Linked DNA regions of Diceros bicornis minor. The protein of the gene in region 1 purifies or fractionates together with the protein of each later gene. This does not show direct contact. Links are inferred from orthologs where the notes say so. Each region holds a gene or a part of one and is shown on either strand. Other genes may lie near its edges. The genes, in order: MAP1S, RASSF1, STK3 and STK4.

The links.
Region 2: the proteins of MAP1S (region 1) and RASSF1 purify together in Homo sapiens (affinity purification with mass spectrometry; 4 studies listed by BioGRID and IntAct, counting the BioPlex papers as one, with this or other methods). This does not show direct contact. The link is inferred for Diceros bicornis minor from reciprocal best matches to the Homo sapiens genes MAP1S and RASSF1.
Region 3: the proteins of MAP1S (region 1) and STK3 purify together in Homo sapiens (affinity purification with mass spectrometry; 3 studies listed by BioGRID and IntAct, with this or other methods). This does not show direct contact. The link is inferred for Diceros bicornis minor from reciprocal best matches to the Homo sapiens genes MAP1S and STK3.
Region 4: the proteins of MAP1S (region 1) and STK4 purify together in Homo sapiens (affinity purification with mass spectrometry; 3 studies listed by BioGRID and IntAct, with this or other methods). This does not show direct contact. The link is inferred for Diceros bicornis minor from reciprocal best matches to the Homo sapiens genes MAP1S and STK4.

What each region holds. Positions count from the first base shown.
Region 1 is NC_080759.1:5,556,440-5,564,019, forward strand, and holds the start of MAP1S (microtubule-associated protein 1S), read left to right. Parts: upstream 1-4,571; 5' UTR 4,572-4,588; coding exon 4,589-4,706; intron 4,707-5,709; coding exon 5,710-5,811; intron 5,812-7,237; coding exon 7,238-7,320; intron 7,321-7,580. UniProt on the Homo sapiens protein: Microtubule-associated protein that mediates aggregation of mitochondria resulting in cell death and genomic destruction (MAGD). Plays a role in anchoring the microtubule organizing center to the centrosomes. Binds to DNA. Plays a role in apoptosis.
Region 2 is NC_080741.1:51,362,789-51,369,760, forward strand, and holds the start of RASSF1 (ras association domain-containing protein 1), read right to left. Parts: upstream 3,016-6,972; 5' UTR 2,875-3,015; coding exon 2,625-2,874; intron 476-2,624; coding exon 369-475; intron 361-368; exon of another isoform or gene 1-360. Other genes in the region: ZMYND10 (zinc finger MYND domain-containing protein 10), read right to left, coding at 3,470-3,545, 3,634-3,759, 3,878-3,999, 4,087-4,353, 4,454-4,626, 4,955-5,055, 5,147-5,235, 5,337-5,474 and 2 more. UniProt on the Homo sapiens protein: Potential tumor suppressor. Required for death receptor-dependent apoptosis. Mediates activation of STK3/MST2 and STK4/MST1 during Fas-induced apoptosis by preventing their dephosphorylation.
Region 3 is NC_080760.1:17,574,518-17,581,362, forward strand, and holds the start of STK3 (serine/threonine-protein kinase 3), read right to left. Parts: upstream 3,011-6,845; 5' UTR 2,914-3,010; coding exon 2,888-2,913; intron 1-2,887. UniProt on the Homo sapiens protein: Stress-activated, pro-apoptotic kinase which, following caspase-cleavage, enters the nucleus and induces chromatin condensation followed by internucleosomal DNA fragmentation.
Region 4 is NC_080758.1:16,216,493-16,223,901, forward strand, and holds the start of STK4 (serine/threonine-protein kinase 4), read right to left. Parts: upstream 3,008-7,409; 5' UTR 2,955-3,007; coding exon 2,920-2,954; intron 1-2,919. UniProt on the Homo sapiens protein: Stress-activated, pro-apoptotic kinase which, following caspase-cleavage, enters the nucleus and induces chromatin condensation followed by internucleosomal DNA fragmentation.

The DNA.
Region 1 (7,580 bases):
CCAGCTCTTCCTCCTCTAGACTGGGGTCTCCTTGGGGACCAGGACTGAGACGTCTCAGGATCTCAGCAGCGCCCAGCACGAGAAAGTTGTCAGGAAGTGTTTACTGGATGGACGAATGGACAAAGGACTGAAGGAAGGAGCACCTGTGGCAGGGCCTGGAGTCAGATGCCCACGGGTACCGGACACTGAATCTGTCCCTTGACCTCTCCGAACCTCACTTTCCCATTTATTAAATGTCTTTACTCAGAGCCTGTGCCCCCAAGAGGTTGCAAGGATGAAAGGAACTACCACATAAAGCATATGGCCCTCGGGGACCTCAGGCTCCGTCCCATCCCAGACGGGGAGTGATTCAAACCCAGCACCAGCAGCCTTGCTCCCTTCCCAGCACCCAGAGCAAGAGTGCTGTTAACACACGTGCTTCAGGGATATTGATGAACAGGGTTGGTGAGCTGGGCGGGAGAAGGAGGGAGAAAAGGCAAATATTTTCTTTCTTTTGCTGAGGAAGATTAGTCCTGAGCTAACGTCTGTGCCAGTCTTCCTCTATTTTGTATGTGGGTCACCACCACAGCATGGCTTGCAATGAGTGGTGTAGGTCTGTGCCAGGGATCTGAACCCAGGCCGCTGAAGCGGAGAGCATTAGGCCATGGGGCCGGCCCCCAAAAGGCAAATACTAAAATGGCTGAGGGCCAGCTCCATGGCTTAGCGGTTAAGTGCACACGCTCCGCTACTAGCGGCCTGGGTTCGGATCCCGGGTGCGCACCGACACACCGCTTCTCCGGCCATGCTGAGGCGGCGTCCCACGTACAGCAACTAGAAGGATGTGCAACTATGACATACAACTATCTGCTGGGGCTTTGGGGGGAAAAATAAATAAATAAAATTATTAAAAATATAAATAAATAAAACGGCTGAAACTTAAGTGTTGCTGAGGACATGGGGTGGCACGGCCTCTCTCTGAAGCCGCTGGGAAAACAGCCTTAGCCCATGACGCAGCCATTCCACCCCTAGGCATTTACTGGGGGAGAAAGGGGTGTATTGATCAAAAGACATGTACAGAAAGGCTCCAAACAGCTTTATCCAGGAGAGCCGAAAACAGGAACAACCCACGTATATGCCAACAGGTGAAATGAACAAATAAAGAAAAATTGGTACCCAGTGGTTATAATAAGAAAAAAAGCCAAAAAGTTTGCAAGGATGTGGGATATTGGAACCCTCACTCACTGCCAGCGGCAATGTAAGATGGTGCAGCTGCTGTGGAACAGAGTCTGGCAGTTCCTCAAGAAGCTAAACATAGAGTTACCACACCACCCGGCAACTCCACTCCTCTGTAGAGACCCAAGACACCTGAAAGCTAGCACCCAACAAAACTTGTGCATTGATGTTCACAGCAGCGACGAGCGGGAAACAGCCCAGACGTCTGCTGACGGACGACCGGCCGAACACGATGTGCTCCACGCACACAAAGGAAAGAAGTGCCCATATCTGACAACGTGGACGAGCCTGGAACACGTTATGCTGAGTGGAGGAAGCCAGACAGAAATGGCCACATAGTGTATGGAATGTCTGGAACAGGCAAATCCACAGGGACAGAAAATAGATTAGTGGCTGCCAGGGGCTGGAGGGAGGGAGGATGGGGAGTGACTGCTCATGGGCATGGGGTCTCCTTTTAAGGGGATGGAAGTGTTCTGGAACTAGATATTAGTGAGGGGGCTGCACGGCGTTGTGAATGTACTAAATGTCACTGACATACACTTTGAAATGGTTAAAATGATGTTACATATTATACGTATTTTACCACAATATAAAAAGAAGAAGTGGTACCCAGGAATACTACACAGCCATGAAGAGGAGCAAACGTCTGCCCTTGACCACAACACGAGAAGCAAGAGAAGCGAGATGTGGGAGTGGACACCTGTGTGATCCCATTTATATGAAGTTCAAAACCAGACAAAAACTCGCCTGTAGTGACAGAGGTCAGGGTGGTGGTTGCCTTGCGGGAGGGGAGACTCAACTGGAGGGTCCAAGAACTGCGAGGGGCTAGGAATGTCCTAGATCCTGACCCGAGGGTCATCACCCTCATCAACCTTCACACCTGACGTTTGTGAACTTGACCATGCCCATGTCAAACCTCAACAAAAACATTGAAAAGAGAAAATAATTACCAGGGAAAGACGATGAGAGCATTTGGCAGTCCTGAAGGCCGAGGGTTCCATTTTCTCCACAAATGCCATTGCCTGACCCCTCTGGGGACTGTCACCCTTGAAACAGGCATGGAGTTGGGTGTGGACAAAGGCCGGAGGGCAGCGACCTGAGTCTGGTGCCTGGGATTTCAGAAATGGTCTCTAGATCTTCTTCATCTCTGGGGAGATGCTCTCCACACTCCCCACACCAGGGACCCCAGCCTGGGGGACACTATGGGACAGGAAAGCCTCAGGCCTCCAGAACGCTCAGAACATTGGCCCCCAGAAGCCTAAGTAGGGACCCTTCTCCCCAATCGGACCTCCTGGTGGAGACACATCTTGACACCCCAGGGCCCTATAAGACCAACTGGAATGAATACCAACAATCATAACTCACAGCTTTGGGCAGAGGAAGATCATGGACTTCATTCGGAAGGTCCTGGGTTCAAGTCCCAACCCAATCATTAAATACACATGAAGGAATAAATGAATGAATGAATAGTGGACAAATGAGCTTTCCACCCCCATTCTAGGAGTCTTTATCATGCACTTCCCAGATGCCCAGCCTTGTCCTGCAAAAGGCCAGGGCCCCAGAGAGGCCTCAGCTGGGTCTGGCCTTCAACAAGCTCCCATCCTGGTGGGGGAGAATGAGCCCCTGTCATTACTGCTCAGAGCAGGGATAGATGAGATCATAGGCAGCCAGGACACAGGGAAGGGAGCCAAGGGGGAGGGGCCAGGGTAGAGGAAGGATGCCAGTGCCAAAGAAAGAGCGGAAGTGGAGAGCCGGAGCCTTAGACAGCACGTGGCCAGCGACTGTTACACAGTGACCAGGGAGGAAGCTGGGCTTGAACAAACCAGATAATGAAGAGTAGGGGAGGCTGATCTTTCTTCAGACCTTTTCATTTCTGTCTTGATTTCCTTTGTATACCTCCAGAGACGGGGAGCTCACTCTCATGGGAGACAGCCCAGTCCTTCTTGGGCATGGGCAACTGTCAAAAAGTTTGATGCAACATGATTTTTCAAGTAGTGGGTGCCATGGGTAAAAGGGCTGGATGAGATTGTTTGCGGAGGGAAGGGTACCCATGTGGGCCAGGCAGTCAGTCCCTGCCACAGGCTGGATCTGAAATCAGACCCACCTGGGTGTTGTTGACTACAAACACAGGTTCGTTACCTGATGTACAGGAAGGCCAATTAACCCAAACATCAGGCTTGTGGCAGGGAAAGAATTTTATTATCAAAAGGCAGCCAGATGAGGAGATAGGAGAGGAGATGGGAGTTAAAACTCAAGTTCACCTCCTCAAAGGGAAAAAGGTAGGAGTTTGTATCTGGGGTTGTAGGTGGGGGAGAAGGAGCACGTGCTGGGGTTTTAGGGAGGGAGGGAGTGTATGCCTTGCTGGCTGGCATCTTCAGACTGGGTTTGTTCTTGAAGACTGAGTCTCTTTTTTCCTTGACCATCTGGACTTCTCCGGCTACTGTTCATCCTTGGCCTGCGTTGGGCCTTGCGAGGCTAAACCTCCATTTTCTTCTTGACTCTGGACTTTGTCTGGGAAAGACAGCTCACTCAGATACTAAGGAGGCACAGAAAGACCTGGATGGTTTTGAACAACAGTTGATTATGCTGAGTATGCACAGCTGTAGTTAGCAAAGCTTATCTCAAATTTTTTTTCTTTTCTTCTAGCCCAGGGAAGATTTTTTAACTACTTTGTTCTCAGTTTCATGGGTTTGAATCTCTGCTCTACCACTTGTGGGCCTGGTGACTTCATCTCATCAAACCTTAGTTTCATCTCCATTCCTTTGAAATGACTGTAATAACAGTGCCTACTTCATAGGTTTGTGCATGTATTCAATGAGCTAATGGAGTAAAATGCCTGGCACACAGTAGGTGCACAATAAGTGTGTTGCCTTGCTCTAGGCCCAGAGTGCTCCAGGATGTGTCCCAAACACACATGTACTTTCCTATCTGTAAAATTTTGCACGTGCTCTAACTTCTGCCTCACACACTCTTGCCCCACCACCCACACCTGGCAAACTCCTACACATCCCTCAAACCCCTAGCTGCAAGATACCTTTCTTTTCTCTGTTCAAGCCCTGACCTAGGGGGCTGGGAGCACCTGGGCCTGGCTCTGATTGCCCCACTGTGATGGATGTGGGCAGGGATTGTGATTGGCTCGTGGTAGGCGTGCGGTCAAGCTTGTTGAAGGAATGAATGGTCATTTGGAAGAGGGGCCCAAAGCAGAGACTCAACAGTCCCCCAATCGCTTCGGCGCCCGCGTCCCCAGTTCCCAAGAGCTCACAGGAGCCGGCAGGGGGCAGAGGAGGGCGAGGAGGGGCTTCCGGGCGGGGTCCTCAGCCCTTCCGGTCCGGCCCTTTAAGGGGCGGGGCCCGCGGGCGGTGCTCGGCGCGCGAAGATGGCGGCGGCTGTGGGTCGCGGGGTGGCGGGGCCCCCGAGCTCGCTGCTGCTGGTGGTGGGCGGCGAGTGCGGGTGCCCGGGGCTGCTGGCCTACGTGCTGGAGGAGCTCGAGCGAGGTCGGGCCGGCCGGGGCCGGGGCCGGGGGGGGGCTCGGGCGGGCTGCTCGGCTCCACTGGCGGCCGGCCGGGGAGGGCCCCGGGCCCGGCTTTGGGACCCGCGCGCTAGGGCAACACGGGCGACGCCTCCGCTTCCCGCCCGCCGGGCCCGCCGCGGGAAGGCGGGGGTCGCCTCGAAATCCTCGGGTTCTGGCAGCCTGGACCTGCGGGAGGGAGGAGCAGGGCTGGGGAGGCCGGCCTGCAGCCCCGGGGCCCACTTTCCGTTCCTCTGGAGGAGCGGCTAATCGGGTGTGGGCGGGCGCGGCCTGCCCGGGGATCTGGCGCCCGAGGTGGTGAGTCACAGGTGCACTTGCGAGGTCCACCTGCAGCGGCCAGGCGCGGTGGGCCTGGCGGGCGTGGGGCACGCGCACCGCGGGCGGAGAGCCTTCGTCCCCCGTCGCAGATGGGCGGGGCCTGCGGTCCAGCGCCTGTAAAATCACCTGGTGGCAGCACACCTTCGGTTCACCTGCTTGGGGGATGTTGCCCCGCAGGGCATAGGGCTAGGGTGGGGACCCAGGCGGGCGGTGGACCCAGCGCGAGTGAGGAGATGCCACAAGTTTTAAGCTCGCGTGGTGCAGGAATGCGCGGAAGGATGCAACGGACTGAGTGGAGGCCGGTCTCGGCACCTGAAGGGGGTCTGGGGGAAGGGCCTCCTGGCGGTGGGAACAGCTGGTGCAAAGGAACGGAGGGGGCTGGAGGAGCAGTGAGGCCAGTGGTGGGGTGGAGGGGACAAGCTGACCGTCAGGAGCCGGGGCTTTCTTGCTGCCGTCCTGAGTCTTCTCTGTAAAGCGCCGGCGTACGCTTCGGGTTCCTGCATGCAGACAACAGTGAGATCACCAGCACTTGGGCAGTTCTGAGTCTCCAGGCTGTCTCGGGCTGGGGTGGACCCCACCTGCCAGGTGCCAGTCATTGAAACATTCTGGGAGCTGGGGAGCCCAGCTGATTTCCTGCCCCGCTCCTCCAGGCATCCGGTCCTGGGACGTTGACCCTGGCGTCTGCAGCCTTGAGGAGCAGCTCAAGGTCTTCGTGTCCCGGCACTCTGCTACCTTCTCCAGCATCGTGAAAGGTGAGGCTGGGCACCCCGCGTGCCCCTGCTGCTCCACTTACACTCATCACTGAGCAGGTGTTCTGCCTGTGCCGGGCCGGGGGTTGGCCACGGCTGTAAACAACAGCGGGAATCGTACAGCTGAGCTCTGCCGAATGCGGAGCAGGGGCGGGCCCTGACCCAGCGCCCACCTCCTCAGTCCACAACAGCCCACAAGCGCAGGAGCTTGTGGTTTTGTCCCCATTTTACAGATGAGGCAGATGAGGTTTGGGGGTCAGGGAGACCACTGAGGAGGGGGGCTTTTTGGATGAGAAGCAGCTGGGGCTGATGCAGCGGGTGGAGGGAGGGCTCAGACACAGGAACAGGACATTTGGAAAGTGAGAGGCTGCTGAGGGGCCTGGGGGTGGGGTGTGTGCCCCGTGTGGCAGGGACCATGTCTGGTTCGTGGCTGTGACCCCTGCACAGGGCCAGTGCACAGTAGGTGCTCGAATAGATGGGAAGCTGAGAAAGGAGCAAGGTCGAGGAGGGTTGAGGGTGCCTGGGCCAGCTGCACGTGGCCCATGGCTCCCTAGGGATTCTGGGGTGAGCCGGGTGAAGAGAGCCCCGTGTCGGCTGCAGCCCCCACCTCCTGCCTTGGCCAGCCTGTTGAGTCACCTCCCTGCTGCTGCAGGAGGGGAAGGAAGTGTCCGTCACCTCATTGTCCCAGTGGTTCTGGGTGGCTTCCTGAGCCCTCACAGGATGGGGGGCTGGAAATCCCATTTGCTCCGTGTCACCTTGGCGGTCACTGCCCCCTCCATGTTTTGGTTTCCCCACCTGTGAGGGGCAGTGTCTGCCTGTGACGAGATGTGTGTATAAACTGATGAAGGCTGTCAGCCCGGGAGGTCCTTGCCTCTAGCCCCAGGGCCTGCTGCTCCGTATGTGAAACACGTCTGGGCTCTGGGGCCAGCCCAGGGTTCGGGTCCCAGAATCAACCCCACTCGCCTCTCCGGGGTCCGTGAGGCCTCTCCGCGCTCGGCTCCCTCATGCCGCCCCCGTTCCACCCCCACCGCCACCTCCTCATCCTCAGACACGCTGGGCTCCGGCCTGCCTCAGGGCTGTGCTCTCTTCCTGGTGTGCCCTCATTGGCCCTGCTTGGGCCCAGGCTCCTCGCCTATAAAATGGGGGTGGCGATGGCCTCCCCCACGGGGCTGATAGCTGCAAGCAGTGGAGGCCTTGGTGTCACTGCTGTGTCCAGCGTGTGGCCTGCCAAGGCGGGTTTCCTGTTCTTGCCTCATCCTGGCCTGTAGCTCTGCCATGTGCCTGTTGATCCCCAGATAACCCCCTGGCCGGGGTTCCCCGGGAAATGGAGCCTTGGAGGGGCTTGTGGCTGCCTGGGGTCACTCAAGGAGGCAGGGTTTGACCCGAGATAGCCTGACCCCAAGCTCACAGGGCCGGATTCCCCCCCAAGGCCAGCGGAGCCTGCACCACCGTGGAGACGCCCTGGAGACCCTGGTCCTCCTGAACCCGTCAGACAAGTCGCTGTGTGACGAGGTAGGGAAGGGGCAGCCCCCGTCGTCACCGCCTGTGTCCCTGACTTTGTGCTGCCTAAAATCCTCTTCTCAACACCCAGCAGCAGCACCTTCTCCCTCAGGAAGTCTCCACTTATTCCCTCCTCAGGAGTGATGATGAGAGTGGATGGGCTCGGGAAAGGCTGGAGTTTGGGAGGAAGGAATGGGCTAGGGAAGGTCTGGAGGGGGAAGGCAGGACTGACCGATGTTTGCATCGAGTGCCTTTCCTCTGGCTGGGCCCCA
Region 2 (6,972 bases), on another chromosome or scaffold:
CTGCAGGAATGATCTCATCGCCCAGGCCGTTCAGCTCAGCTCCGCCTCGCTGCAGCTAACCCACCTCCCGTAGGGGACAAGTCAGAGCTTATGCGCATGTGCACCAGCGTGGCCACAAGACCGGAAGCGGAGAGGTGCGGAAATTGCGTGGGCGCGGCGCCTGGGAGATTCCGGGCAGTTCGAGCGGAGTCAGCACCCCAGGCACCCCTTCGAACCCGCGCGCAGAGTTAGCCACTCTCTGCCGCAGGGAAATCCGCTATTAGAACGCTCATTGCGTGTAATGCCGGGCGGTCCTAGAAACACCTGCAGTGTGGCCTGCTCGTCTACGCGTCCCTGCCTCGCCCATACGCCCCCGGCCCCGCGCTCACCACGTTTGTGTCCCGCTCCAGCGCCGGTTCCCAGCCCAGGTCCCGGGGCCCGCAGCAGTCTAGGCGGACGAGCGCGCGGCAGCGGTAGTGGCAGGTGAACTTGCAATCTGCAGAGAGGCCTGGCCGTGAGGTGGAGGAGTCCCAGCTCCAGCTCGGAGAAGTGTCCCGGGGACGGAAGAGAAGCCCCAGGGGGAAGGCCGTTGCCCGCCAAGCTCTGCATGACCGGCCTTATCTCAGGCCCCGTTACCGCCCACTGCTACACAGATTCTAGTGTTGGTTCCCTGGCGTCTGGAACCTGGCGGGAAGGCTTCAGGCGGTTAGGGATCCAGGCCTGCTCAACACTAGCGCCTAGGGCAGAACTTCCCCCTTCCGCATTGTCAGCCCCCCCCTCTCCGCCCATGTACTTGAAGGGAAAAAACCAAACATCTTTAACCCATGTCCCCCTCTAGTTGTCATCTGTCTTACTCCCCTCACGCCAAAAGTTATCAACACTGGTCTGCATACACTCTAATTCCTTGCCTTCACTCTCTCCTCTACCCGTTCCAGTCAGGCTTGCCCTTCCCTCCAGGCAACTGCCCTGCTCCGGATCCTCAGCAACCTACTGCACTGCCGAATCACGTCCCTTTTGCATCTTCACGTCCTGGGCATCGTTTGATGCTTGCTCCCCTTGGTTCCCAGTTTTTCCTCCCACCTCCCTGCAGCTCCTGCTCAGCTCCTTTGGTTCTGTCTCAACTTCCAGATCTAATGGTGGAGTGTCCGAGGCTCAGTCCTGATCACTGCCCTGTGCTGTGTACACTCACCTACCCCGGATCCAAGGCTTCCATCACTGACCTCCCCCCTCAGGTCAAATCTGTGTGTCAGTATCTTCACTTGGATGTCTAATAGACATTTCAACCCAACATGGTCACAATTTAACTCATTTTTCTTCCACCTCACCCTACCCTTACCAGAGTTTATCTCAGCAAAAATTGCTATTATTCCAGTTGTTTAAGGCAAAAAACCCCTTGGGCTGGCCCGGTGGCGCAAGTGGTTAAGTGCGTGCGCTCCGCTGTAGCGGCCTGGTGTTCGCCAGTTCGGATCCCGGCACACACTGACGCACTGCTTGGCAAGCCATGCTGTGGCGGCGTCCCATATAAAGTGGAGGAAGATGGGCATGGATGTTAGCCCAGGGCCAGTCTTCCTCAGCAAAAACAGAGGAGGATTGGCAGATGTTAGCTTAGCACAGGGCTGATCTCCTCACACACACACACACAAAAGGCAAAAAACCCCAGCTCATCCTTGAGTCCTCCCTTGTCTTTGCCTGACACACACCCAAATTGTCCTGTTTTTCATCTCCATGGCCACTTTATTTCTCTTTGGGAACACTGCAATGTCCCAGTCCTTGTTCATGCTTTGTATTCTGTCACAACTCCTGTGCTCCTCCCAGAATTCAGGACAGACTCCCTGCTGGACGAGAGAGTCTCCATACCCACACAGGCCTGGGATACCTTCCCTAAAGCTCCTACATGGGCCAGAACATGATTCTCAACCCAGGCTGCACATTAGAATGATCTGTGTTTAAAAATCGCTGATACACTCATATACTCAGTGATTTGATTCAACAGGTCTAAGGTAGGGTCCAGGCACAGGGGTTTGGAGGGCTGTAAAAGCATCCCAAGTGATTCTAGCTGGTGTGTAGCCAGTGGGAGAGCAACCTCTGCTTGCTGGTGATTCCTGGGAGGGCAGAAGGACTGCTGGTGTGTGGCTGTGTTTCATGTTTTAGCACCTGGTTGACTGGGCCTGCAGTAAGTATTTGCTAAATGAAGACAACAAAATTCCTGCTTGTGAGGGCCCACCCAAGATTCTTTTTCCAGGACCCCTCCCATAGGTGGGTAAATTCCCTTCACCCCAAGGATTCTGGAGGGGACACAGGTAAGTGAATCTTCAGGAAGGAGCAGGCCTGGGAATATGGACTCAGAGACTGGTAGGCCTTTCTCAAGAAGGGCAAAGGCACTTTAAAGGTAAGAACCTTGAAATCTGCACCTTGTTATTCACAGGCAACCACCTCTGTCCAGCTGTGCCCCAGACGCAGATGGAGCACGGCAAGGATATAAAACCATCTGCCCAAAGACTTCCGCGATGGGGTAAAGATAACGGACCTGGTTCGCGGGGCCCGTCCCTGCTTCTGCCCCCTCCGTCGCAACTTGACCCGCAGCGACAGTGCTGCCCCTTGGCCGCTCGTTTCGCTTTCACCAGCGCGCGGGGGCCGCTACTCACGTGCGCACTGCAGGCCCTTGCGCACGACGCCCCAGATGAAGTCGCCGCAGAGGTCGCACCACGTGTGCGTGGCGGGCTCCGCGGTCTGGAAGCGGTGGCCGCGGCTCGGGACCAGCTGCCTTGCTTGGTTGCGCGTTGTGCCCGGTGCGATGCGCAGCGCGTTGGCGCGCTCCAGCCGGGTGCGGCCCGGGCCGGCGCGCTTCTCGGGTGCCAGTTCCCGCAGCTCAATGAGCTCAGGTTCAGCGGACATGGCCCAGTCGGGCCCGGACTCCGGCCGGCTCTGGGCGCGAGCGAGCGCGGAGCGGGCGAGGCCGTGGGACGGTCTCGAGGCGGCGCCGCGTCAGCGATCCAGGCACAGCGGCGGGAGAGCGCCGAGGAGAGCGGCGCAATGGAAACCTGGGCGCCGGGACTGTGTCCGCCCGCAGGCGGAGTGGGGTGGGAGGGCGGGGTGGGGGCCTTTCCCAGAGTCCCCGCCCTCCCTTTCCTCCCCTCCCCTAACGACGACGACGACCGCAAAGGACCACTCGGAGACAGGCATGTTTCTGGAGGCCAGCTTTACAGTGCTAGAGGAAGAGGGTCCCCACATCCGGCCCTCGCCCTCGCCCTCCACCCAGGCCTCCTGCCCTAGGTTGCTGAGGCAGCGCCCTCAGCCTACCCGCCGGGTGGGGCAGGAAGCCGGCAGCGCTTTGCTGGGGGAGATGGGGCAGCAGCTCTACCCTGTGGGCTGTGTTCACCACCTGGGAGGCTGGGGCTCTGGCAGAGGCCGGGCTGAGATCCCTAGGTTCAGGGGCACACTCAAGGTGAGTTGTATCGCATGGGTGGTTGTCCCTCAGCAGCTGCAGCCTTCACTTGGCTCTGTCACCCTGGGCTGTCCGGACACAAGCCTTTCTATGCTTCTCCCAGTGCTTGACTTGGCACTCCCTGCAGGCAGGTGGCCTGGTGAGGATGCAGTGCTTGTGGGGGGTATGGGAGTGGGGCTTAGGGGTCCAAGGTCCTAGGATGCCCTCACCTGCAGCAATACCACTCATTCTGGCATCGTGAACAGCGTTTGGAGGCCTCTGTGCTGCAGTAGGCACAGCGGGGCCGCTCTGGAGCTACTGCCTCTAGCACGTCCAGCCTGTAGGTCTCAGCCCACCTGAGAAAAAGGGTCGGGAGAGCCTGGCTAGGCCTGGCCAGTGGGAGCACAGGAGCACCCCTGCCCATGTCCAGGCCTTCTGCATCTCTTCCACCTCTTCTACCAGCTCAGGCCTCACCTTCGTGCCTGCAGCCGCAGGTCCTGCTCTGAGGGGCTGAATACATGCCGCAGCTGGTGCTTAGCAATAGCCTGCCACTTGCCTCTGTTCTCTTGCTCTAGGCGCTCCCAGATTTCTGGGATCTGAGGGAGAAAATTGGAGAGTGTCAGGGAGAAGCTGGCAAAGTGGGCAACTAACTTCTTCTGAGCAACTAAATTCCTAGTGCTTACCTGTTCCAACACCAGGTCCTTCTTAGGGGGCTGGGGTTCAGCCAGGGCCAGGTGGGCCAGGAAACCCTGCAGGTCTGCTAGATTGGGCAGCTGGTCAAGCAGCGTGTCTGTGAGGAAGGCCCGAAGCTGCAAGGGTGTCCAGGGGAGGCCAGTGTGAAGTGATGCTGACCAGAGGGTCAAGGAACAGAGAGGGCTAGGGCTGGGCTGGGCTGAGGGTGCCTGTGGGCTCATGTCCCAGTAGCTGTTGTGGCACCTGAGGCTCAAGGTCTGGAAAGAGGACTGGGGCTGAGGCGAGTGGGCAAAGATAAGCAGCAGGGGTGGGGTGGGGTGTGGCAGTGCTGGGACTGGTGTTGGAGGAGTTCCCCACCTTGAGTAGCTGTCCCTTGGCAAAGCTTGTGAGGCAGTAGCGGGCCCGGGCCTCGGGGCTTAGCAGCAGGTTGTACAGGGCAATCCACACCTGCCCGTCCAACTTGCTCAACTTTTGCTGCTCTGGGGGGGCCACTGTCTGCCAACAGCCGCCCTCAAATTGCTGCAGCTTGCCTGGGGAGAGGAACCAGCACACTGGGTGCAGGCATTGCGTACACTTCGAGTGAACCAGCTGCATGGTCTGGGGGACTGACCACTGCCTGGGCACAGGACTTGCCCAGGTTGGAGTGCTGCTCACTCTACAACAGGGTGACTCCTTGGTAGTGGACACACAGCCCTTGCCTGCTGCAAGCCCAGGTCTAGACCCACCTTGGGTGAGGCATCCTGGTATCCTCTGTGGGCTACGGGCAGAGCTTGTCTGCCTGTGTAAGCTGCCCACTCTCATCAATCCTGGAGGATGTCCTGGAAGCAGTGAGCTGGGGCAGGTGGAGGAGGACCTTACCTCCTTCCCTCCGGCTCCAGGGACTGTGCTCCAGCAGTTCCACCAGGAGGCAGGGCAGGTTGTGGGTGCTGAGCATGCGGCTCAAGGTGCTCAGGGAAAGGCTAAGGGTGGGGGTGGAGAGAGGTGAGCAAAGGCTATGGCCCAGGCTCCCAGCTCTCCACTGCAGGCCCCAGGCCCAGCAGGGCTGCCCACCTGTTCACACAGTCTGTGATGTAGCGTAGCACTGAGAGGGCCTTCAGTGCAATCTCAAATTCCATCAGCTCTGCCTGCTTCTGCAGCTCCTAGGGGGCCACATGGTGCTCAAGTTGGGCCACCCTCTGCCTGCTCAGGCCTCAGGGAGCCTAGGTCTAGCCCATGCCAACCCCAGGGAACCTCAGCCCACCTGCATAGGGGTGCTGTACTGGGACTCATTGTCTTCAGGGGGGCCACTATGGCCACTCCGGGCCACCAACAGAGTCAGTTTGCGGTGGCAGTAGTCCACTAGGTCCAAGACGGTGTCCTCTGCTGACTCACACACCTTCTGGGAGGCAGGAGCAGGGGAAACATTCTGTCTCTGATTCCCTCCCGTACAGACACAACCCCCCTTGCTCCCAGGCTCTGGCCTGGGGCAGTAGCCTATGGGCAGGGCTGGTGCCTCACCTTGTGGAAGAATACTGTCTCCAGGAGGTTGATGATGGAGGCCTCATGGTGTACCTGTCAGACAGATGACAGGGACCGGGGCTGCTGAGGGAGGGATAGGACTACCAGCTATCGTCTGTCATCCAGGGCTCTCTGAAGGGGTGGGTGGGGGTGTGAACCAGGAACCTAGCTCACCACTATGTATATGGGAAAGGTGTTCTGGGGCTTGAAGTCTTCTAGCCTGCACAGCACAGGGAACACCTTCTGCTTCCACATCTCCACTGCAATCAGCTCCTCCACCAGCGTTGGGATCTTTGAGGGGCAGGGAAAGGACAGGGATGAGGTAGGCCTACCTTGGCCTGGCAACCCTCCCATCTCTGGCTCAGCCCAGCCCAGCCCGGCTCTCAACAAACTCCCCTGGGCCCCTACACTCTCCCAGACCCCATGAGTACCTTCCTAACCTCTTTCCTGCACCTTAGACCTTCATTTCCAGCTGCCCCTGACATCTCTGTGGGGACATCCTCCATGCTTCCTGTGACTGACCCTTACCTTATTCCCCAGGCTGCCTTGTTTCCCCTGTACCTGTGCCCTTGTCCCCTCCTCCACCATCCAGGTGTCCCTCTCAGGCCAGCTCTTCTGCTTATGCCTTCCCTCTTGTCCCCATCCTCTGGCCTTCCAAGGCTCTTGTGTGCCTTGGCTTCACCCTTACTCAGGGCCCGTCACAGTGCCCTATTCCTACCCCACCCCTCAGTAGGGGGCTCCACCTTTTACTTGCAGAGGATCTCTTTTGTCAGGTGATATCTCAGGTCATCTACTGGTGTCACCTCCTGGCTCATGTTCTAGCCAAGCCAATCCCTGGTTTCTAACTCCCTCTCTCTCACGTTGGGAAAGCTGCCTCCTTCCATGCACGAGTCCCACCCCCACTTCAGTGTGGCCCCTTTTGGCCTTACAGTCTGTTCAAGAATGCCTTTAAGATTTTTTTTTTTTTGAGGAAGATCGGCCCTGCGCTAACATTTGTTGCCAATCTTCCTCTTTTTCTTTTTTTCTCCCCGAAGCCCCAGTACATAGTTGTGTGTCATAGTTGTAGAGTTGTAGCTCTTCTATGTGGGACACCGCCTCAGCATGGCTTGATGAGCAGTATGTCCGCACCCAGGATCCGAACGAGTGAACCCCGGGCCGCCAAAGCAGAATGCACGAACTTAACCCCTACGCCACCGGGCAGGCCCCCTCAAGAATGTCTTTAGAACTTGGGCCCTCCCCTTGCAGCCTAGGCTGTTCTAGGATCTATCTCTCTAGGACTATCTCCCTAATCAACCCAGGCCCCGCACCCAGGGGCTCGTGAGGGGTAGAGTGGTGGGGTAGGGGGTGGGAAGGCAGGAACCCTGCCTGTGACCCCAGCG
Region 3 (6,845 bases), on another chromosome or scaffold:
GCGCCTACTCCAAACAGAGCCTTTCTGCTGTTAAAATGTTTCCGCTGTTAAAAATTTTTGAAAACCACTGGACTAAAGTGCCCAGTTGGAAGGCACTGCTGTAAATCAAGTGTGAGGGTCATAAAACCCTGGAATGGGGTAGTAGTTCTGTATTGGAAATGAAATGGGAAAAAAAAATGAATCCACAGACTTTTTCATGGAAAATTTGACAGGATCTAATGATAAACTAGATGGGATAATGAAACAGTGGATTTGCAGGGGTCGGCCCAGTGTCACAGCAGTTAAGTGCACGCGCTCCGCTCTGGCGGCCTGGGGTTTGCAGGTTTGGATCCCGGGCACAGATCGACGCACTGCCTGTCAAGCCATGCTGTGGAGGCATCCCATATAAAGTAGAGGGAGATGGGCATGGATGTGAGCCCAGGGCCAATCTTCCTCAGCAAAAATAGGAGGACTGGCATCGGATGTTAGCTTAGCTCAGGGCTAACCTTCCTCACACACAAAAAAAGAGTGGATTTACACGAAAAAATCAAAAATATCAACTGAGCAGCAGCTGCTGGTCATACAGAGTTGAACATCAGCAACATAAATATCGCCACATAAAAATGTCTGAGCCCTCAGGAAGTGCTACTCAAGGCAGAAAAGCAAAGTGGCATTCTTACACGGATTAGGAAGAGAACAAGCAAAGGGAACCAGAAGACTGTAGAAACAGACGACAACCACATCATGGAACGCAAAGGAAGCAAGCGAGTGTTTGAAAAAGAGGCATCACTGTACACAATGAGAGGGTTCACAGCCTTTGCAGCCAATCAGACCCAGAGTTCTGGCACCTCCTCCACTTCACCAAGTTATTTGACCTCTCTGAGCTTCATTTAATAAGGAAAACATAAACTAACAACTAACATTACTGGACACATTATGGAGCATTGTGCTAAGTGCTTTTAACACATGACCTCATTTAACCCTCACAATACATTTTACAGATTAAGAATTAAAATTTAATTTAGTACTTAGCACAGAAAATTGCAGAGCCAGGATTCCTATTTCTCAAGACATTAAAATAAAGGAATGTATATATAAAGTTCCTGGCAAACAGGAGGACCTCAAAAATGGTAGCTATATTTTATTATTAGAAGGTAATGATCAATAGGGACAACACAAAAATTACTGTGAGTAATCCCAGTCATAGCCTTCCAGGTGGCAAACTCACTTAGCATCCTCAACTACAAAACAAGATTAATGCCCGTAATCCAACCTACTCAATACAGTATTGAATTAAATGATGTTATGAAGGATTAAATGATATTATGAAAATACTATGAAAAAATATTAAGAGATATTAAAAAATAAAGGATTAATGTCACATATCTTTTGCTCTTCAGAAATGCTTTCCTGGATCAACATAAATCTCTCTGAAGAGAGCTAAAAATAAGTCTGTTAACTGTGCAAGCACCATTTTGAAAAGTATAAGTCACCACAGAATGGTGATATACACCACCCACGCCTCCCCCTGACCCCTCCAGGTTCTCTAACGTCCCCGCAAGGGCAGGGGTTCTCTTACACCTATAATGAAACTCTGATAGCTCAGAGTAGAGCTAATCAATAGAGAGAGCTTCTACTTCAATTCAGAGCTGTTCAGATTGGCCTTATGGCACTATCTCAGAGATGCCCCCTTACAATCCTTCCAAAACAGAAAAGAAAAAAAAAGGTTTCCAATTTTCTTCTATAGTATTAAAACTGGGTGCCCAGTCAATACGAGAATTCAGACACTTTACGAAATGTCAGAAAAAAATCTATCAAGGGGTCTGTCTGATAGCAGGTATCTTTTAGAAAATTCTCCACGACTCCCCTTTTTGCACCTGAACAGATGGTTTCCAGGCCTCGAGGCTCACATGTCTGGTGACACAATTCACAATAGCACACAAAGTTCCTACCTTTTAAATTATTTCGTGTTCTTGAATACACCACCTTTCATCTAAAGATCTCTAGGTATCAAAACAAGAACTCTTTAAACTTCACAACAGCATTATCTGGGAGAGAGATTAGTACCCTTATTTTATAAACTAAAAATGAAAGGCTGAGGTTAGATGTTTTACCCAACATCAGTTAGTTGATTCATTCTTCGGGGGGGGGGCGGGGGGGATGCACATTATGAACACATATCAATGGAGAGCCTAGATTTAGCTCACTTCAAATATTAGTTCAAATGTATCTACGGTGTACTCTGACATTTCCAATATATCGAAGATTAAATCCAAACTAAGAGTAAATACCAAAGCATCACTATTTTTACATGCTAAAAGAAAAAAAAAGCTATATGGGGGAGGGGTTCTAATTTAAGAATCCTACTGTCTTGCATCCATAAATACTTTTGAACTTGAGGGAGGGGAAGGCACACCTGTCAGCGCAACATATTCACAATAAGTTTACAGACTGTGTAGCTATTAATATTTAATTCCTTAAACTGTAAATAAACAATCCGCCTTCTCAAAAAAGGCAATATTATGAAAATCATTTGAGAAGAAAACCAACATAGTTGTAAGAAGCCCAATAATTTCCTAGGTTTACGTCTCCCAGGCTTCGTGAACTTGCCACAAGGGAAAACTGCCCGCCCAAGAGTCCGGCCGCGGGGAGCCCGGCGCTGCCCACCGACGCTCCACGCGCACCAGGCCCGGCCGGCCGCGGGGGAGGCGAGCTCGGCCTCCCCTCGGGCCCCCTCGCCCCGTGGACAGACGCGGCCGGCACTCGGACCCGCCTCCCGACTCTCGGCGCGCCCGCCTCGGGGCCCCGCAGCCGGGGAGGGGGTCGCGGTCCGGCCCGGCCTAGCCGCCCCTGCCCCGCGGCCGCCGGCGCCGCCTCCCTCCTTCTCCCCGCTCCCCGCGTTCTTTACCTTTTGGGCGCCGGCGGCTGCTCCATGGCGGCCAGGGGGCTGAAGGAGCGACCTGGTGGGCGGCAAAGGCCGGTGGGAGGAAAGGGGCCGAGGCACCGGCCGGCCGAGCCAGGGGAACCAGAGAGGGAAACTCCAGGAACTCGGACCAACTTTCCCGTAACTCTGCAGCGGATCCCCACCCCTCTCCGGAGCGCGGCTCCTCCCGGCGCGCCCCGCCCCTCCGCCGCCCGCCCGGGTCCAGGAAGGGTGGGCGGAGCCAGGCGCGGGGGGGGGGGGGGGCGGAGCCGGCGGCGGTCCAGAGAGGGTGGGCGGAAAAGGCCTCGGTGCAGGCGTGGTGGGCGGAGCCAGGCGCTGGGGAGGAGGCGGAGTCGGGGGCGGAGGGAGAGGCCGGCGGTAGTGCAGCGAGGGGAAATAAGGAGGGGAGACTGGAAGAGCCAGAGGACGAGGCCGAGTCAGGACCGAGAGCCGCTGTGTGCTGGTCAGGGACTTGTTCCTTTGCGCTATCCTAGAGCTACTGCCCCTCAGTTGCCTTCATTGCTTTTACCCCAATACTATTTGACTCATTTCTTTAGCTTTCTCAAGGATACATCCCAAACATCTTGTACAGCCGTTTGAAGTATTACTAACTGCCCACGCTTCCCTCTCTAGTTCTGTTTGTAATTACTGGTTATGTTCTCTCCTAGCCATTTGACATTTGTAGCTACAGTACCAGGGATACTTCTGGAAATTCTTGTTTGATGTTGATTGTGAACAAGCTCCTCAATACATTTCACAATAATTACATCTAATTACAAAGAAAATAATTACTGCAGTGAGATCTCCCAGTGCACCAAATTCAGTGCACTGTGGTCTTGCCGGCTGTTCAATTGGGTAACCCGGCAAACCTATCGCAAATTAAAGTGCATAGGAAAGCACTCAAAAAAAATGTGTTTTCTTCTCTCTTGCCACCCTCTCCCTCCAACCTGTTCCCAAGGCCCTTACCCCATTGCCGTTTGACCCCTTCATGTGTCTATATTGTGCATATGCCATTTTACCTTAAATTCCATATATAGATATCTTGCTTATGACCATATACAGCTGCTAGGTAATGAGTTTGCTTGTTTTTGTTAGAAATTTATCAAGATGTAGAGTCATATAGAGTTTTCTCAGAGATAAGAACAAAGAATATGGAGAGAATGTTGAATAAAGGAATTTTATGAACATTAACCCAAATTAAACTTGTCTATTAACAGTTATTCCTCTTTTTGCATTGTTTCACTATGTAATAAATTTACATGATTTATTTTCAAACCATTATATTCCCCCCTAAATTTAGTTACGTTAAATTCGTTAAGACCATTCATCGTTGAAACCTAGTCAAAGTCTGTAAACAAGAGAGATTATTACAAAATTTTATACTCATTTAGATTTATTAAAGATCTACAGTCTAACAGTTCAGAAGTAACAGGACAACAAAAAACTAAACCATTAAGATGTTAAAGCTAGGAAGAACATTTGAAATTGTTTCATCTGTCCCTCACTCTCATCCTCACTTCCACGCCGTAGTCCCGTATTCTTGTATTTCATCAGAAAAATCTCTTTCAGAGAGGGTAATTTCATCTTTTTAAAAAATTGCCATATTTTTAAATGGGCTCAAATAGACATACTTTAAAATGGATGCTGAATTATGTTACCAACCTCAGTCTCCACGAAGCATTTCCCAGTCAAATCACCAGCACCACCACCCCGCTACCTTTGACACTGAAGTTGTGAAAGAGATGCCTTTCTTATACGTGCCCATAACACACTGTGCTGGCTTTTGCATGATACTTATCACAGTTGATTGAAGTTCTGTTTATTTGACTGTCATTCCAACCCAGCTGTGAGTTTGTTGAGAAGTAGACCAGGTCATTATTCTCTCTATCTCTTGCATAGCAAGTGCCTTACACATAGTAAGCTGGATAGCTTCCTTTTGCACCCCCCAGATTCACTCTCCATCCTTTTCCATCTGCTCTCTGCCCTAGGGGCTGACCTGTATAGCTGACATCCTTGGAGTCCCAGCTCTCTGGCTTATAGTTGGGTCTGATGATAGGGAGACCAACAGGAGATCATCTGAGGGAGAATGGAGTATAAGGCTATTTATTCCCCTGGTTCCCTTCCTGTGAGGTTGTCTAGGGCCCAACTCTTCTTGCTTCCTCTCCTCCCTGTGGGCCTATGGGTAGTGACTGGTCTGCCAATCCCCAGATTCCTCCTCTATTCCCTATGTTCCCCTAGACCTCAACCCTCCTCAAATGACCCTAATTTGAGTGTACCTTCAAAAACTTTTCCTAATGGAACCCTGACATAGTTACCCATAAAGAAAGTTTGTGGAGGAGGAGGAATAATATCAGAAAATAAACCTTTGAGGTCTTCACTCAGTCTGAAAAGGGAGACGGCTAACAATGGTTGTATGACTCCAATAAGGTCAAATACTTGGCTACATTGTCTCATCAAACCCTTAAATCTACCTTGTTAGGTAGTTATTTCCATTTTATAGGTAAAAAGAAACTGAGGTTCAAAGAGATGAAGAGAGTAACCCTAGGCCAAATAGAAAATCTGCATTCTAACCCAGGCCTTTATACTTCCAAAGCCAAGCCTTGTCCCACTGTAAGTCAGTCAATAAATATTTACTGAGCCCTTATGCATACTAGGCACTGTTCTAGGTGCTGAGGATTCATCAGTGAATAGACAAATAGACAAAAATTCCTGTTCTCATAAGATTTACATTCTGGTCGAGGAAACATAAGGTAAATAAGCACCTAATCAATAATGTTAGTGCTGAAAACTGGTAAGGAAGAAAAATAAATTGGGGAAGGGGAATATGAAGTGGAAGGGAAGGGATGAAACTTAGATAGGGTGGCCAGGGCAGGCCTCAGTGAGAGGGTGACTGAGGAAGTGGGGGAGAGCCATGCCCATGGCTACGGGAGGAGACTGAGACCAAGGAACAAGAAGTGCTGAGGCCGGAGGCAATCGTGCCTGGTGTGTCATGTGTTACTGAATGAAAGGAATTGTTTTTTTACTGAATTACTCAGAAAAGAAAAATTAGCCTGAAGTCTCTGTTTCAATTTGTCTGTGGAAAGCTAGCCTGAAGATTCCAAGAAGGAAAGCATAGAAATCATCATTCAACCTGCAAACAACAGGCAGCAGCATTCATGAACAATTGAGAGCTATAGGAAAATCTGAGATACAGGTAAGAGTCACTCAGCTTCACGTAACTGTGAAAGCAGGATAATCTGTTTCTGCTTCCAACCGTTCCAACTGGAATGGAGGTTAAGTATGCACTTTAATTATACTAGCAAACAGCTCACCAGAATTCTCAACTGCGTGCTCTGAGAGAAATGTGAGAGAAATCTGCAATTTGGGACCCAGTTCCTTAGAATAACAAAACTGCATTTGTTGTCACTGAATAAATACCACCATGTTTTATGAGTAGAAAAATATTAAGGTAAGAAAAATTTTTTTCCTTATTATACTAGTTGCTGCTACTTATTGAAACTGCAAGTTTGTATTACTCTTTTTTCTCATATTTATTTGAAAAATAATACTAATTAACAACTGCTTATCTTTTCTACTATTACGAGGAAGAGTTTGGGGAAAAGAGAATATATTACATTATGTAACTTTTTATTTGCAGGGAAATTCAGAATTATTTCCTTTCAAGAGGCAACTTTACAAAATGTTTTCCCTTGATCTGTTTCTCTTTTCTGGCTTAATTTTATAGTTAGCTTGGAACTAGCATGTTGCATTTGAATTCAAACACTATCCTGTTTTCTCAGAGCAATCCTAAACTTCTGTTTCGCTTATTTGTTTCTCTGACCAAACTGTAAGCCTCTTGGGAATAAGGACAGTATCTTATTCATATTTATCATCTCAAAAGTCTAGCATATCAGTTAACTACAAGTAATACCTCAAAATGATTTTTAAAACAAGAAGCCTAGAG
Region 4 (7,409 bases), on another chromosome or scaffold:
GTTTCACTGCTTGCTCATAAACACACAGGCCTGGCCAACACAGCCTGCATGGACCAAATACCGGTGGATGCTCCTCTTCTAAGTCAGATGGCCACGTGGATGGCCAGCATCCCAGAAATGTACTCTACACCTTCCACTACACTATTATTATCTAATGGCAACTCATTTTTTAAAATCATAAACTCCTACATAAGCCATACGTAGGAGTCACACACAAATGTTAAACTCATGAACACAAAGAGCATTTCCTGCATTGGGATTGCTATTCCTTGTTGGAAACACAGGCCATCTGAATCTCTGAAAAGACATTTGTATCTTTCCAAACACAAACAAGACTTTTTATGAAGTAGTTACTCATAGGTTTGGCTAATTATCAAATCTCTTTCTCCCATTTTAGAACTCATGTCAGGCTCATTTTATTTATGTATACCTATCCCTCCCTCCAAATAGAATTTGATTCTATTTACAACAAATACGTAAGACAAACTGATGAAGTTTTTGTAATGATGATAAAATCAATGTGCCCCTCCCAATTCATATGCTGAAGTCCTAGCCCCCAGTACCTCAGAATGTGATTATATTTGGAGATAGGGGCTTTAAAGAAGTAATTAAGGTAAAATGAGGTCATATGGGTGAGGCCTAATCCAAAACGACTGGTGTCCTTATAAGAGGAGATGAGGACACAGACCGGTACAGGGGGAAGACCATGTGAAGACACAGGAAGGAGACAGCCACCTACAAGCCAAGGAGAGAGGCCTCAAAAGAAACAACCATGCCGACATCTTGATCTCGGACTTGTAGCCTCCAGAACGGTGAGAAAATAAATTTCTGTTGTTTAAGTCACCCAGTCTGTGACACTGACATGGCAGTCCTAACAAACTAATACAAATGATAATAAAGTTAATCTGCTGCAAATTAGGCAAATGAGTTATGATGCAAATTAGTTATGATGAACAGGAAAGCACCAGTCATTCAAGAACTGTCTTGCAATGCTCTTCTCTTGCACATTTAATAAATTTTTTTAAAACCCAAAAGGTACAGGAATGAATGTGTCAAAAAGCAAAAAGGTTTACTCTTTTGCCCAAGATTATACAACACGAGGCAAAGACAGCAACAAAACTCAGATCCCTAATGCTCTTTCCAATTAAACCAAGCCCGAGGAGAAAGAACAAACATATTTCAGAAAGAAATATAATCAGTGTACATTTATAAGTGGATCGCCACGGTGTGATAGCAAATATCTGCTAATGCACGCAAGGCCCTGTGAAACACGGGTACTTCCAGAGAGGCATCAGAGTGAGACAGTTAAGAGCGTGGCTTCGGACTAGACTGCTTGGATTAAAATCCCAGCTCCACCACTTACTAACTGTGGGACCTCCGGCAAATCACTAACCTCTTTGTGCCTCAGTTTTATCACCTGTAGAATAGAGATATAGGGGTAACCACTTCACAGGATTGTTGTGAGGATCAAATGAGTCAATAGTAAGTTGAACCACACAAAATTACCATTTTTACAGATCAAAAATGGTCAAATATCGGCATTTTCACATGGTTCAACAGAAAGCACTGAGAACAGTGTCCGGCACCCAGTAAGTGCTAGATGAGGGTAATAATCATTATTACTATTTCAGTCTCAGCACACTACACTAGCGTGAATTATGAGTTCATACCAACCAGCTATCTGCCTTCTGCAGTGCTTGTGCGCTTCAAACAAACCCCAAGTGTGCAGCCCAGGCTGCCAGTCTCTTCCCTTCACCTCTCCATTGCCCCGCACTCCCACCCACTGAACACTTCCTACTTTAGCGCTCCTTCTGCTGCAGGAAGTCAGAGGCCTCTGTGAAATAGAAGCTAACTACACTGCACCTCAGAGAAGCATGACTGCCTCCATCTCTACTCTCTTTTTCTCCAGATGTGGCAGAGTGACATAAGACCCTGGGGGTCCGTAGAGCAAATCAATGATGCAACTGCGACCAAATCAGGAGTACAGACCTTCTAGGATCAGCCACCTCCCTGATCTGGACTTAAAACAATTCCAGGTATCAGTAGGATCTGGAGCTGATACTCACAAAACAATAGAGGCCTGAAAAGGGCACAGTCTGGCCTGGTCCAGTGACCCAGTCTAGAGCAAAGAAGGAAACACAGGGGTCTGTGTCTCAACTCTTCGGGGCCTCAATTTCCCCAACTTGAAAAAAATCCTTATTTCCTCATCTACCCCGCAATGGTGGGTTTAAAGGGCTGAGGAGGATGTGAGGAAAATTAAGAAGGCACTGGACTTAAGGAATGACAGATGCCATCATCATCCTAGAGTGGGGACACTACCAAGGACATCTTCCTAAATGCTGTCCTCCAGGAAGCCCTCCCTCCCTTGCTAGACCGGCAACCTTTCTTGGCACACCTTCAGCTTTTGGAGCAAAGCTTTTCCCCCAGCAGATCCTCCCCAACAGCACCCCTCAGGTGGGACCCCGTCCTTACGAAGTCCACCCAGCCTTCCTCTCAGCTTGTCCCCGACCCATCCCTTAGACAGACCCCTCATAGGTTCCCATCCTGCTTCAGCATTCCCCCCGCCTCAGTGAGTCCCTTCTAGGACAGCCTTCCCCCAGCGGCCCCAGCCCTCAGCAGGTGCTCTCCCTAACTTGTCGCCACGTTCCTCAGCAGCTGCTCCCTTCAGCAGTCCCCCAGGACGTCCCCCTACAGCAAGTGCTCTCCCTAACCAGCCCCACGTTTATCCCCCTCGGCGCGTGCCTCTCTCTCCCGGACCCCCAGCCGCCAGATGTCCCCCACTCAGCAGGTGCCCCATCACCGGGTCGCCTCGCCCCGCAGGTCCCTCCCCTCGGGGGCTCGACAACGGGTGTCCCCCCTCCGTCAGTTCCCGCCTTTCCTTCCCCCCGACCCCCCTCCCGTTAGCCAGTGGCCCCTCACCGGCGCGGCGGGTTCCTCAGCTGCACCGTCTCCATGGCGCTGCCAGCAGCCGCCCAAGCCCGCTCACTGCCCCATCCTCCCCGGGGACCTACCCGAGCACGCCCCGCAGACCCTCCCACACTTCCGCTTTCCGCCCCTACCGGAAGCCGCGCGGCGCGGGGCGGGGCCACAAGGACCGGGCCTGGGTCACGTGGTGCAGCGGGGCGCGGACCGGAAGCCCGGAGCGGAGGAGACTGTTGCCTGGAGTCCTCAGCCAGGCTTGACGCTCTGCTTGACATGCTGTTCGCCCAAGCCGCTCGGTCCCCACACCGGGAACGCATGTCTGCCTCAGTCCGGCCCCTTATTTCTTAGACTGAGATACTGAGGCTTCTTGCGAAGCGCCAGCTTGATAAAAACTATTGATTCTTAACAAGCCAAGTTCTACGCGATTCCTGGGAATCGCTGTCACCCCCAGGGCCTCCTGGAAGTATTTGTGGTTTTCTACCATTCTTACCTGGTAGAATTCTTGTTCCAGATGGAGACTGGACCGCGCATACCTTCTTGGCTGTCACAGGGCATCAGCCTGCAAATTGCCCCACCCTCTTCCTTAACAGCCTCTCCTTTGAGTCAGTTTGGAGACGTGTATACCTGGGAGAAACCAGGTGTACATGTTATTTATTAAGCTCTTGCCATGTATTTGCTTTCATATATTGTTTCATTTAATCCTCACATCAAGCAGGTATGGTTATCCCCAATTTTATGTGTTGATTATCTGACAAACTGTGCTTACCACTGTGGGGGATCAGAATTTGCCACCCCAAAAATGTGTCTCTTTGGCTTGATTATTTTTAAGAACAAAAGACTTGGAAGGAAACTTCACCTTCCTTCTAACTGCCTAAAAGAATTTAAGATAGAAAGCCTGTTCCAGGAAGGAGCTAATACCATAAGATAACCATAGAATAATATAAACTAGGTTTGATAAACAGGGAGGAACCTAACAAGGGCCTTTTAATCAAAGTCCTCATCTCTCATTGTCTTTGCAAGGCATGGTCAACATTTGTTAACCAAACATTTGGTTTTCCATCTCCATGTAAATTGCCTTCCTCCCCTTTGAAGTCCAAAACCAATAACCCCAACGTCCTCCTTTGTTCTTAGCTGAAGATGGTATTTAAGGTAGCAGCTTCTGCCATTTTGGAGAGTTACTCAGTTTTCCTGGGTTTCTCCCAGGTATACATGTTATTAAATTTGTTTCATTTTCTCCTGTTATTCTGTCTCATGTCAATTTAATTCTTAGATCAGCCAGAAGAACCTAGAGAGTACAGGAATAGTTCTTCCTCTGCTATACCACATTCTCAGTGCTTTACTACTATTAACTCATTTAATACTCCTAACAACCTTATAAGATAAGTACTATCAATACTCTCATTTTATAAGGCCAGGGAAGTGAAGATCACAGAGCTAAAAGAATAGGTTTAGGGATTTAAATCCAGGTCCGTCTGATTCTAGAGCCTGCACCTTAAACTGGACAGCCACTGATGTATACTCTCTCTCTGGGCGTCAGAGTCAGAGCTCCCTCTCCACTCAGAGCTCCAGTTCCAGCTATGGCTATGGTTAAATCCCCACTTGCCACCACCATCAATGAGTGCTAGGAAAATGGCAGATTCCACCCAACTTACCCACGGGGAAAGTTACAGGAGCAAATGTACCCAGAGCAACCACTCACTGTTTTTAATTGTCCTGCTTTTCCCAAAGGTATGCCATCTATGAAACTTAACACCTGAGCAGCCACCTTTCAGGGCCACCCAGGTATGGCACCCCGTGTGCTAAAAATGGGATAATAGAGCCATTCCCCAGACACGGAAGGAAAACATTTACTGAGAATCTACTGTGTGCCAGGCACAATCCTAGACTATCACTTAATTTTCAAAACAACTCTATGAAGTAAGAATTATTAGTCCCAGTTCCTCAGGTGAGGAAGCAGAGACTCACGTATACACGGCTAGTGAGAGCGAAGGTTTTAACCCAAGACTGTCCTGACTCCACAAAATCCATATTTTATTTGCCATTTTGCTCTATCAGCAATCTGTACAAGTGGCAGTGGGAGCCCTGAGGAAGTAAAGATCAAGAAGAATTTCTACAAAGTTCAGGAAGCCATATGGGTCCCTCCTGCAAGAAGTCAACCTCTGTCCTCTGAAATCCCCTCGCACTTTTCCTGTTCTTCTCCCAAAGCACACTCAACGTTTTACCTTATGTTCGGGCCCTGCTGCCCACTGGATTTCTTCCTCCTTGAGGGGCAGTTCTGTGTGGAAGCTTCCATTATGCCCACACACTCATCCCCATAGATGAGTAAGTACTCAATAAACATTTTTAAAAATAAATGTCAATTTGCCAATACACATTGTCAAACATCCCTCCTTTGTCCCTTCCCAGGATTTTTCCAGAAGATAGACTGACATTAGGATTGCCCTCTTTTTCCACAGAACGTCCGGTGCAGCACTGGCCCATAGAAATTCCTGCAATGGTGGAAATGTTCTACATATGTGCTGTCGAAACAGTAGCCACTAGCCACATGTGGCTGTTGAGCACTTTAAATGGGGCTAGTGTGACTGAAAAATTGAATTTTAAAATTTTATTTAATTAATTTAAATTTAAATAGCAAGCCTCAGCCAACCATAATATGCTAATAGCTTAAGAGAGAGAACCAATGAGCAGGGTTACTCGTGCTCCATTCATTCAACACTCTGTGAGCTCCATGGGCTGGCACCGTGTGATTCTCTGCGTATACAAGAATATTTGAGACATATATGAGTCCTACCTTTTTTGCAACTTATAGTGTAGTAGAAAAGATAGTTATTAGGCAGATAATTGATTAATGTAGTGATAAATCATGATAGAAAACTATAATGTGAGAACCTAACGAAGTCTAGTAAGATCGAGACAGCTCTGAGACAGCTGGGACAATCATTCATTCATTCAACACGTATATATTGTGTATCTGCTGTGGCCCAAGCACTGTACTAAGTGCCAGGCAATGAGCAAAAGAGATAAGTTTGTGCCCTCATGTGTGTCACATTCAAGTGGGAAAGATAGACAGTAAATAAACAAACTATATAAATATATAAAATGTCTGGTATTAAAAATTATATGAGAAGAAATTAATGTAAGAGTGTGGAAAGTGGGATGGGGAGTAATTTAGATCAGTGATTAGGGAAAGCCTTTCTGAGGAGGTGATATTTGAGCAGAGATGTGACTGAAGTGAAAGAATAAGTCACACTCATATTTATTTATTTATTTTTCTGAGGAAGATCAGCCCTGAGCTAACGTCTGCCAATCCTCCTCTTTTTTTTTTTTTTTTTGCTGAGGAAGACTGGCCCTGGGCTAACATCCATGCCCATCTTCCTCTACTTTATATGGGACGCCACCACAGCGTGACTTGACAAGCGGTGCGTCGATGGGCGCCCGGGATCCGAACCAGCGAACCCTGGGCCACTGCAGCGGAGCGAGCACACTTAACAGCTTGCGCCACCGGGCCGGCCCCCCACACTCATATTTAAAGAGAATGTTTAAGGCAGAAGGAAACAGCAAGGGCAAAGGCTTACATTAGAAGAGCAGCAAGAAGTTGGTGTGCTTGGAGCAGAGTGAATAAGGAAGAGAAAAGTAGGAGGTGAGGTAGGCAAGGTAGCCAGAGTCAGGTTGAATATGGGCCGTGTAAAGATACAAAAAATTACTAGAAATCGGTTAGGTGTATCTGTTAGCTATCACCATGTACCAAACCATCCCAAAGCCCAGTGGTTTATAACAGTAATTATTTTCTAGGTTTTGGTTATTACAAATAAAACAGTTATGATCATTTGTGTACAAGTCTTTGTGTGGATATACATATAGGCATACATACATACAAAAGGACGTTTCATTTCTTTTGGGTAAATACGCAGGCGAGAAATAGCTGGGTCATATGGAAGACATATGTTGATGTATTAAGAGACTGTTTTCCAAGGTGATTGTACCATTTGACATTTCCACCAACGGTGTATGAGAATTCTAGTTGTCCTCCTCACCTATGCTTGATATGATCAGTGTTTGTAATTTTAGCCATTCTGATAGGTGTGTAGTGGTATCTCATTGTGGTTTTAATTTGCATTTCCCTAATGACTAATGATGTTGAGCATCTTTTTAAGTGCTTGTCATCTGTTTATTTTCTTTTTTAAAGTATCTCTTCAAGTCTTTTGCCTTTCTTAAAATTGGGTTATTTTCTTATTATTGAGTTTTTAGAGTTTTTTTTAAATATTCTGGATGCAAGTCCTTTATCAGATACGTGATTTACAAACATTTTCTGGGGCTTGTCTTTTCATTCTTTTAACAGCATCATTCAAAGAGCAGAAGTTCTTAATGTTTGTTAAGTCCAATTGATTCATTTTTTTCCTTTTAAGGATCATACTTTTGATGTCACACCTAAGAAATCTTAGGGAGGATACTGACCCTGCAGGCTCACTTCCCAGGTTCCCATGTCA